Daphnia pulex: one gene and its partner. The protein of the gene in region 1 interacts with the protein of each later gene in a pairwise test. Links are inferred from orthologs where the notes say so. Each region holds a gene or a part of one and is shown in the gene's direction. Other genes may lie near its edges.

Region 1 (5,623 bases):
TGGAAGTGCGCCCGCTCGCGCACGCTTTTGCGCCCTGCTGAGGGAAGTTTTTGTGTGTGAAATGTGACGACGACGGTGGCGGGGGGTGGACTTCTTCTTCTTCTTCTTCTTCTTGTAAGTTTGTGCGCAACACACGTGCCTCTTTTCTTCTCCGCTTTCTTGTGTGTAGGGGGGAATCGATGAAAAGCACAATCGAATCTTAATACACCACCGAGCATCGGCTAGAAATTTATTTAGATACGTACGTTTGATAAGAATACGAAGAGTTGCGTATAATATTTATGGGATAGGATAGGGGGAGATAGAGACGCATGGAGAAATAAGATTTCTGCGTTTTTCTTCTTTGTCGATTCTTCTACGAATGCCGACACACATTGCGAGTTCCCCCCCTCTTACATAAGAAGGGGGGCTGCTGCTAGGTTAGCTGCTCCAGCATAGGGATTTTCATCTCTCTATCAAAGTATAGTATACACCTTGAAATCGGATCAATTCCGAAATTTCTATGCGTCGGTTTGCCGAACGTTGAGCTAGACGCGTCCCTGCTGATGCTCGACTTTGAATAATATGCACGGCCACAAGACGCGAGCTCCTTGTGTCCTAACAAAAGAAAAATAGAAAGAATCCCCCAAAAAGTAGAGAGACTCTGCTAGGAACAGTTACCTTTTTTTATTTCTATCCACCTATATGTATATGCAAGGAGAGAGGTCCTCTTGTGTGTGTCGTCTTGACGGATTTGTCAACGGCGTGTTTTTCTCTCTCTTTATGAAATAAGCAAACAAACCCCCACCGGAATGAAAAAATAAAATAAAAATGGATTCAACGTCTCTTTTCTTCCTTTACATCTGGCGAAACTAGACCAGATTTTTCTTTTTTCGTTTTTGATTTGAAGACAAATACATATATGATGGATACGTCACACATTTTGATCGGGAGAAAAGAATCGATCATTGTGTGCGCACCGTGTGTTGTTGATTCTTTCCTATTTTTATGATTCCGGACGTCCCACTAAGAAAAGGAAAAAACCTTTTTCCCTTCAGACTCGTGTGTGGAAAAATATTTTTGGACAAGTCACCTTCTATGTGTGGAGCTACCGGGTTTTTGTTTCGTCCGTTGTTGTTGTTGTTGTTGTATTGAAAGGCTACCAGCGTCCGTCCCCATTGACAAAAAGTCTAGAAGAAGAAGAAGAAGGAGGAGGTTCTTCTTCTTCTTGTATTTTTCCTGGTTCGTCATCGTCGTATTTCCCATCTGTTGTTGAATCGGCCGGAAAAGAGAATGGGACACAAACATTGCGGGGCGCCTCGATTCGACCACGGGCCAGTTTTTACCTTCTTCTTCTTCTCCTATTGGAAGAAAAGCGTTTTTCATGAGGACACCTTTTCCTATATACCATCTAAAAAGAAGATAATACACAAGGTACACCCAAAATCACAGAGACATTCACGTTTGTGTATATACCACCATTGACACAATGGAGTCCCCCCGAAAAACCCCGGCGTGCGCCTCGATGCCCCGCGTAGTTGTTCCGACGGACGACGGTCATACTGAGGGCTCTCTGTGTCTGTGTTATGTCACCAACCATATAGTAGAGTCTCCCTTCTTCTTTATTTTTTTATTATCACCTCAAAAGTATTTTTCTCCATAGAAAATAGAGTGGAAAAAGAGGTTTTTTCTCCTTTTTTCTGTTATGTGTGTACGGGCACGCGGTTGGCGCGCTCCGCATAAATAAAATACCCACCAACAGACGGACCCGACGACGACGGGCTCAAGGCGGAAGAAAAGAAGAAGCTAAGGTTCTTGGGCGCACAATACCTTCTCCGATTTCCTCCTCTTCTCTCTCTCTACCCGCAAAGGGAAGAAAGAAAAGAAAAGAAAGTCCTTCCTTTATTTAGTAGGCCTTATAGCTCCGTCGTCGTCGTCGTCCTTCTCCTTTTACTCTCCTCACCCCACCAACCGGGGTCCCACCTCCGACGCGACGCGCGTATTACAGGAGACGACCGGCGCGCTCCATCGCCGGGTGGGCAAAAGAGAAGGGGGGTGGGGGCACACGGATGGGGTGGAGTGTCGTCGCACTATACGTACTACATCCGTCCCTGACTCACCTCGTTGAGGCTCAGTCGCTCACCGGCCGTCGTTCGGCGTCAACCGTTTTCCCCCCTCCACTCTGACGGACAAACTTTTCGTCTCGTGTGTTTTTGTGTGCGTCTTGAATTTGAAATAACAAAAAAAAGTTGAACCGTTTTCTCCCAATTATTTTGGGGAGTTTTCCAATCGTTAATCGCTAATCAATGTGAAGTGGTGCGGACTGGACGAAACTTTTTTTTTCAAAAAATATTTGTGAAAAGAAAAAAAAGTTCTGAAAATTTCCGTTCGATTGACTTTTGGAACAATTTTTGGGGGACCAACCCAAATGACGACGTCCCGTGTTCCATCGGCTCTGTTCGGGGCGAGAAAAGCTCAGCCAAACTCCGTTGGTGGTCGTTGTGGTGGTACTAGTGCCGGCCCATTGGATCTAATTCATAATCATTATTAGTTCTCTCTGACTTCTGTGGGGGTTGTTGGAATTGAAATCCAAAAAAGAAAGAAAGACAAATCTTTTCTTTTTTGATTCCTCACGTCTCATTATTGTTATTGGTTTTGACGGGAGTGCCGATTGTTGTTTTGTGCTCGTGTTGCGATCGTCACCGCGGGGTCTCTCCCAACATTATTATATGATTTTTTTCCCTTTGCGCCGATTTCTCACGCGTGAGTGAACATTTCAAAAGCCAATCGAAGGGCGGAAAAAAAGAGAGAAAAACGGAACAAAACGGAACTGCTGGCAGAAAAGCCAATCGACAGGAAGTCATTGGTCGATGCCAACAACAACCCAAAACATTTGTGGAAAAAAAGAGGCGCCTCATTAAAAATAATCGAAAGAAGAACTTTTGTGAGCGCGTTGGAAATCGGTTGGAATCGTGCCGGTTTTTCTTCTTTCTTATTTTTCATTTCGTTCGTCCCCGATTGTTCGATAATGAAGAACCACAGCGGCGGCCTGCTGGGCGATAAATTGCCCTTCTACCAAAAAGTGCTCAACATGACGCTGGGCATCAGCGTCCAGAGCTCGGCGTCGACCCGCAAGGCCGAGGAGCCGCTGGCTCCTTCGCCGTTCAGACGCGGGTACACGCGAGCGGCGGCCTCGGCGGTCGGCCGTCCGGGCATTCCGGTCACGCCGATTCACGTCGTGACGACGACGCCCGGTCACCCGGCTCACATGGGAACGGGAGGCGGAACGACGACGACGCCCGTCACTCCCAGCACGCCGACCAAACACGGGTCGACGTCGACGGCGGCCAGCATTTTCCGATCCTTCCGCCGGCGATCCCTGCGCCGATCCTTTCGGCGAACCAAGTCATTTCTGGTCAAAACTCCTACGCCCGCCACCCCTACACCCACTCCGACCATCACCAGTATCGCCACAGGTATAAATGATTACGCAATACAACGATTGGCCGGCCTCCCCCTCCTACAGTTGAAAAGTTCTAGTCAAGTAGTAGACTGGGCATCTGCTTTTCCCGATGGAAATTCACTTGAGTTTTCAAATCAGGTCCATTGAAATGCTTTTTTATGGTAATCTGATTTGCTGATGAGAATGCGCCCCCATCATTGTCGTCTAACGTTATTAGATTGTGATGATTGCTGCATGCCGAATGGCGAGAAGAAAACCGGTTTCACCCACTTGTGCCGTTGTCTGTTGTATGTTTTTTTTTATTTCCCTACTTCATTTTCATTGTGGGGTCGGTCATGTTGATTGACGCGTGGAAGAGGCCACTATGTGCTGGGTTGTTTGTATTCAACTGGAAGGAAAGGCCAGGTGGATCCCCCGACCAACGTCTGGTTATCTCTCCTCTCGCCAATGCGGGGGATTCTTGTTTGAACAGCTTTTTCAGGGAAAATTATCAAATTGTTAGAATAATAACACGTGGAGTAGAAAAAAAAGGCTATATTATTTCCACTAACCAACCCCCTGTTCTTCACTTTATCTGCGCCGGATGCAGGCGGATGAGAGTGACGAATAAGGGGGGTATCCTCTAAAAAAAAAGTTGTTTGAAAATCCATCAAGTTGTTAGTTTTTTTTTTGGTGGGGGGTTAGTTTGATTATTGATGAGGAGGGATGTGCAAGTCTTTATTATCATTGGAGTGTGCTGCGAACAAACCGGAATCTATCTCTTGTCTGTCGCTTTTTTTTTCTTCTTTTTCATTTGATATAATATTAGATTTTTTGTTGGGTTGGTTAGGTTGGTTGATGGGGGGGTTTACTTGTCGACCGATCGATCACTAAAAAACTCAATGGCCCCCGTACCCGTGTGTGTGTGTGTGTCGAAATTCGTTTCGATTATCTCTCCTGTCGTCCAACATGTAACCAGCGATGGATTTTTGGGAGCGTGCCCGCGCTCTACTCCTCCTCTCGGCCCCGCCCTCTTCTTAAAAGCTTCTTCTTCTTCTTCTTCCGCCCTTCGAAAATTCAACAAAAGAGTTTTCTCAATAAGCGCTCGCCATTCGTCTCACACAGAAACTTGTAATTGTCCGTCAATGTCCTCCTCCGCAGTCCGCGGAAGCATTTCGTGTCCATCGCCATTGCAGCATTGACATGTCAATTTCCAATTGAATAGTTTGGGAAATGGTGTAACGGTCGAGTTGCAGAGTTGGTTGAAAAATGTGATTTTAAATTTCCATTTGATTTATTTATTTTTTGCCAGATTCGTTCGTGAATAGTCAAGAATGGACGCTGTCCAGAGCGGTTCCCGATTTGCGTTTGGGCATCGTCGGGTCGCTGGCGTCCGGCAAATCGGCCCTGGTCCATCGCTACCTCACCGGCTCCTACATGCAGGAGGAATCGCCCGAAGGCGGCCGATTCAAAAAAGAGATTTCCATCGACGGACAGTCTTACCTTCTCCTCATCCGCGATGAAGGCGGATCGCCCGAACTCCAAGTAAGTTAAATTTTAATTTAAAAAACAAAATTTTGTGTGTCGAATTTGTTTCCAAAGATGGAAAGAAAAAACATAACCACACACAAAAGTCGATTCATAAAGGCGATGAAAATCAATCTTTTCACGCCTGCTGTCCGGTTCCTTTTTTATTTACGAGTATATTTATTTTTTAACACAATAAGGACAAAAAACATTTTTTTAGTCCTATAGAAAAATTTTAAAAAAGGAAAAAGGAGTTTATTAAATAAAAAAAAAATGTCCCCTTATATTTTTTGAATCGTTTCAATAACACAGCCGTGTTGAAATGTGTTTGGGTCACGGCTAAAAAAATAAAAAATAAAAAGCGCCGGGTTATAGTATAACCTTTTGATAGAAATAATAATAACAACACGGCCCCGAAATTATCTAGGGGACTTTTTTGGCGCTGTACATTTTTCATATGAAAATATTTTTTTTTAGGTGATAAAGGGGGTGTCATAGGGGGCCAGCTAAATCCCATTCCAGGCCCAACGTTTAAGAGAAGGTGGGCCAACGCTCGTAAAGAAGAGAGAGAACAAAAAAAATTTGAATGGCTTGGGCAATATACACACATAGAGACGGGCGTACACTCGCAGCAACTCGTTCACTACTAGTCACGTCATGAAGCCGTGCCGAATG
Region 2 (5,616 bases), on another chromosome or scaffold:
TTTCGTGAGCCGACTCAAATACACATAAAAGATAGGGACATTGAATGAAATTTTGTTTTCTTACCTTCATTAAAATCAAAAGCAACTGGCAACGGCATAACCTCCATTTTCTTCAATGTTGGCGAAATTTCGGACGTCACGAATAAAACAAGGGAAAAAAGAGCCGGCGAATTTAATAACGTGCAAGGGGGTTTCTTGGTAGTTAAGGATTGTGTGATTTGCTTTAAAAACTTGAGAGACTGTGTGCGAAAAAGAACTGTTTTTTGCTTTGATCAAGGTGAAAATTTAGAAGAGAATAAGGGAGAAAAAGTGGGCCGGTCTTTGTTAGTGAAAGAACAAGGGCGATTGATGGCGACTGCAAAGTGAAACAGCCTTTTCAACGTGAATGGTGCCCATCGACTGAGAAAGAAAGGCCTCTGTTCTCGAGTTGACTACCTTAGCAACGACCACTGCAGACTGACGGTGCGTTCACTCGGTTTCCAAGCAGACGACATTGTTTCAACTGACGCCAGAGCCCTCTGTGCACAGAATCTTCTAGATAATTTGATTCTAATTACGTACTTGATCAACACGAAAGTTGATTGTAATTATTTTACATTGAACTGAAGCTATTTTTAAGTAATTTAAAGCGTGAAAATGAAAAGATTTCATTAGTTATGAATTAAATATCCATCGCCAGCCGTCGAGTGTCGCTGGTGTAGCGTGGTGTTTCTTTGTCCCGGATCCGAGAGTGACTACGTTATCTGTTGTGAACTTTGATGTTCCTTTCTTTGTCTGGGAGGGGTTTGCCAGGGTAATGGGGATATTGGCGTATAGTGTGTATTGCCCTAGCGGCCCACAGCAACAGTGACGTCACACGCAATCACCCCATATTTTTACTTCATCTTTTTTCTTTGTTTTCTTTTATTTAAACTCAACCTCTTTTTCTTTGTCTTGGGAGACTTGAATTTTTTTTTCCGGAGAAATTTTTCTTATCTCTTACATCAGCCATTTTTATTTTACTGTATCAAAATTTCCGAACTGGTTTTTTAAAGGCTTCTAGAAAAAACCAGAAGACGGAAAAAAGATAACAACGTTTTGCATGACGGACTGAATGAACAAAGGGCAAATATAAAACAAAAAATCCAAGTGAAATAAAAATAATAACGTAGGGGGTACTACAAGGAAGGGAGTTCCTGGTTTCCCTGCTCGACATCACGTAGGCTAAGGGCTTCGGATGGCAACAGCAACTTAAAACTACCGGTGAGCCAATAGCCATCCAGAGACATTGTGTTGTTGTGTATATTATATACTGTATATACTCTGTTGCTGACTGCTCACGGCAGTCCAGGAAGAGTTTGCAACCAGCAGCTGCCAGCCGGATGCGAGGTGCAGGGAAAGAAATGGATTAAAGTTGAGAAGAAAAAAAAGGTACGCTATATAATAGTACCACCAATCAATAATTCTAGCTGCAACAAAGAACTTTTTTTTCTGGATGTGCTAGGGGATATATCACAGTTCAGCCTTGTTTTCAACAGAACCCTGAAACGTTAAAATTCCATTTTTGGGAAAAAAGGATATGGGATTATAAGGATTTATAGCTTCCTCATGTCTACTGTGTGGTTGGCTAATGTATGCAAAAAAGATATAAGGCTGTTGGCAGCAGACTGGCAGCAGACCACTCGCTGCAAAATCGGGCGTTATAAGCAGGTATTTCAAGTTCTTGCGGATAGGGATTCTTTTTTTTAAAAAAACCTTTGACAACAATAAAAACAACAAAAGAACAAGGGAAAGGAAAGCCTTGGGCATGATATCCCGTTTGACACTTCCCACACAATTTGTGCGTGAAGGTCGAGATAGATCTCGTCAGTAGATAAAAATAATTTTCCAAACTAGAATTATACATGAATCTTTGTGGACCAAGCAGCAGCACGACCGCTGCTTACAGTGGTCCTCCTTGCTGCACGGTTCTTTGTTTCACCTGGTAAAAGATTGCCTGTGGCCAGCAGGCTGTAACCCAATCCGTTCTTCCCCTCGATCGATCGACAGGATGTCAAGTCTAGAATTATATTCGTTAAATATTAGACGCGGCACGGAGCGAAAGGATATCCTCAGCGCGTGATAGGATATGTATTTCAAATTAACAGAGAATTCGTCAAAAGGATCAAATTTGACCTCGAGCCAACACCCGATACCTGCGAATCTGTCAAATCTAACACGAAATCCCATTCAAAAAGCCCTCCCTAGTGACCGGCTCAACGCGGCCCATTTTAAATATCTGGCAACAAAGCCAAGCAGACGAAATTGGTTGAATCGAAATGACGTGTAACCCAAACGGCTTTGATTCCAAATTTAGAAGTAAATAAATAAATAAATAGAACTATTATAGACATACTTTCCCAAAGTCGTGATGGATTATTTTTTCGGCTTCAAGTCTGTCATCAGCCAGCCGGAAGCGGAGCCTTCTCCTGCTGACACGGTAATTCAATTGACATTAATTAACGTCAATCACTTAAGTGCAGTCGTGTCCTTGACCGTTTTCTTTTCTGATAAACAGCTGTGGCCCGTAAAATTCGATGGCGTGTGAAGGACTTTTTGAGTTTATTTTTGGGGGAATTCGTGTCAAGATTGCTTCTTTAAAATATTCTTTTTTTCTATTCATCAGGTGCTGAGACTGGTTGAGAGAGTCACATCTTCGACTCTGCTGGAGGACAAACGGGATGCCTGCAGAGCCATCAAAGCCCTTTCCAAAAAGTATCGATTGGAAGTGGGGGCCCACGGCTTGGATGCCTTGATTGAGGTGCTCAATGGCCAGCCGGATCTGGAGACATCCAGTTTCGTCCTGGAAACATTATGCAATGTAACTTCATCAGAGGTTTTTGAAGAAGAGGGTGTCGGTGCCCCAGTTGGAGAGCAGTTCACTGAAATCTTTCTCAAAAAAGCAGAGAATGTCATAAGCGTCATCACGTTACTAGACGAATATGATTTTCACGTTCGACTTCCAGCGATTCGTCTGCTAATGAACCTCTTAAACAACAAGTCAGTGTCTATTTTTAACTCGTTCATTATTTTAAAAAAAACCTTTTATTAATTATACACATTTTTTCACAGATCGAAAGAAATGCAGGAAATTGTTCTGGCATGTCCGATGGGTGTGGCCAAATTAATCGATATCCTCAGTGATAGCCGGGATTTCGTGCGAAACGAAGCCTTACTCCTTCTCATCCAGCTGACTAAAAGCAATGCCAACATTCAAAACATTATCGCCTATGAACGTGGTTTCGACCAGCTCTTTCAAGTCGTTCGCAGCGAGGGCTACAGTGACGGCGGTATCGTCGTAGACGATTCCCTACAACTTATGCTCAACCTCCTCAAACGCAACGCCTCAAACCAGACAGTCTTTCGAGAAGGTAATCCATCTAATTCATTTCAATTCGAATTCTATTTTAAAAAGTCGATTGCAACCACCAGAATCCTGCATGAAGCACATCACACCGTTTTTCCAGTCATGCCAACAGTCGGAGGGGGGTGATCCAACTGGCAGTTGGTCTATACAGAAGATTAGCAATGTACATTCCATGCTTCAGGTATAAACAAAATCATCATCGACAGCCTAATTCTATAAATAAAAAGGGAAAGAGTGAGAGTTAGTAAGTACTGTTATATATCTCTTCCCCACAGGTGGTAAGAACATTGGTATCTCCGGCCAACGCCACTCAAGTGGTGTCTCCAGCCCAGAAAAATGTGGCCGGCTGTGGTCTGCTTTCCGAATTGTGTGCTCTACTCATGTCGCCCGGCGTTCCGGCTGACATCCTCAGCGAAATCATCTGCACAGTCGGCGAATCGATTCGCGGCTGCCGGAGCAATCAAGAATTCTTTGGCCAAGTGATGGCCTCTTCGTCACCGCCGCGAACAGCCTTGGTCGTTCTCCTCATGTCTATGGTCAACGAAAAGCAGCCGGTGCTGCTCCGAGCGTCCGTTCTCTACTGTTTCGAGTGTTTCCTCTACAAGAACGATTTCAGTCAGGGACAGATTATCCAGGCACTTTTACCCACATCGGCAGAAGGTGAATAATAATCCCCCCCGCAAGAGAAAGTGATATCCAGCCGGCATGGAAACATTAAACCTGTTTTCTCTTTTTTTCGTATCATAGCCATGCAGCAAATTTCAGCTGGCCAATTATTGTGCGGTGGACTGTTCTCGACCGACTGCCTTTCTCACTGGCTCTCTTCCGTGGCACTCTCTCACGCTCTTGTCAACAACACCAACAACAGGGAACTGTTGCTAAGGGTGCACTTGGCTATCGCCAAAGATGTCGCACCCGTTTCCCTCCTACAACAAGCTTTTAGTATACTCCAATTGGTAAATTTCTTGATTCAAATTCATCTTGAACTATACGTTTCTGACTAACATTTATGTGTGTCTCAGGGTGGCAAGTTGCAGACTCGACTGGGTATTCTGACGTTATTGTCCACCTGGTTGGCAGATAGCCCCAACTCTGTGGCTCAATTTTTAAAACTCCCAAATGCTGTGGCATTTTTAACGGCCCTGGTAAAATCCCATTTCAAATTATCTTAAAGTATCTCCTAGTAAAAGAAAAATTGGGAAATGTTATCTTAGGTGGCTTCCAATGAGCACGACGACCAAGAGGTGCTTGTGCAGAGCTTGTGCGCTTTTCTCCTAGGACTCTGCGTGGTCTACAACAACGATGCAAACAGCAACTTTTCCAAGGTATATTTTCGTTGCTGCCCAGTTGCACCTAGTCATTTACTGTATTGAGTGTTATCGTCATGTAGGAATCCCTGTGCCAACTAATAACCAAGCGAATCGGAGTCGAAACATTCGTCGACAAACTTGCCGAGATCGCTAAACACGAAGTGTACAGCAAAGCCCTCAAACACCCTCAAATTCGGATCAATACCGCGGCTGATATCCAATTCGATCACGAGTTCTGTCGCTTGTACAAAGGTATTCAATTTCCCGCTGGCAGCCATGGCTACTCGATCAACGTATAGAGTTGACTGACAGGACTTGGATTGGATTTCATCTTTAGATATAGCTTTAACCAGTTCTTTTTTTTCCTTCTTGTGTTTCGTTCTATTAATAGGACTAGAGGGTGTCATTGCCAAAGCGGTGGCTCCGCCTACCAGTCCTAAAGGAGCCGAATCCCCGTCCGAATCGATGGTAGGTCGTAATAATCGTAATAATAATCGATATCTATGATACAAATATCTTTTAATCGGAATTGAAGGCTTTGGCCAAATACAAGGACGTCATTCGTGAGCAAGATGGACAGATACAACACCTGCGGCAGCGATTAGCTGCCTTGGAAGGGGATCACATAGCCGCTCAGGTATATTTTCCCGAGAAAACCTTTACGCTGGGAGAACAATTTCTTGATTTACCTTGTGACGCACTCTCAGAGCAAGATCGAAGAGTTGAACGTCAACGTGCAGCACCTCCAGGATCAAAATACATTGCTCAAGGCCCAACGGAACAATAACGTCATAATTGACGGAGGCGAGCCTTCAACTCCGCCACCCGAATCGTCGACTGACAAGTTGGTGAAAGAGCTGGAAGCGTTACGTCTAGACAATGAGAGACTTCGCGGTCAGCTGGAAGAGCAGCAACAAGCTG

The links.
Region 2: the proteins of centaurin-gamma-1A-like (region 1) and general vesicular transport factor p115-like interact in a two-hybrid assay, tested with the Caenorhabditis elegans proteins (2 studies listed by BioGRID). The link is inferred for Daphnia pulex from reciprocal best matches to the Caenorhabditis elegans genes cnt-2 and uso-1.

The regions. Positions count from the first base shown.
Region 1 is NC_060024.1:12,057,243-12,062,865, forward strand, and holds the start of centaurin-gamma-1A-like, read left to right. Parts: upstream 1-1,919; 5' UTR 1,920-3,007; coding exon 3,008-3,455; intron 3,456-4,733; coding exon 4,734-4,966; intron 4,967-5,623.
Region 2 is NC_060025.1:2,005,920-2,011,535, reverse strand, and holds the start of general vesicular transport factor p115-like, read left to right. Parts: upstream 1-2,269; 5' UTR 2,270-2,389; coding exon 2,390-2,458; intron 2,459-2,644; coding exon 2,645-3,018; intron 3,019-3,090; coding exon 3,091-3,389; intron 3,390-3,450; coding exon 3,451-3,566; intron 3,567-3,660; coding exon 3,661-4,045; intron 4,046-4,132; coding exon 4,133-4,341; intron 4,342-4,407; coding exon 4,408-4,530; intron 4,531-4,599; coding exon 4,600-4,710; intron 4,711-4,775; coding exon 4,776-4,947; intron 4,948-5,086; coding exon 5,087-5,163; intron 5,164-5,230; coding exon 5,231-5,332; intron 5,333-5,402; coding exon 5,403-5,616.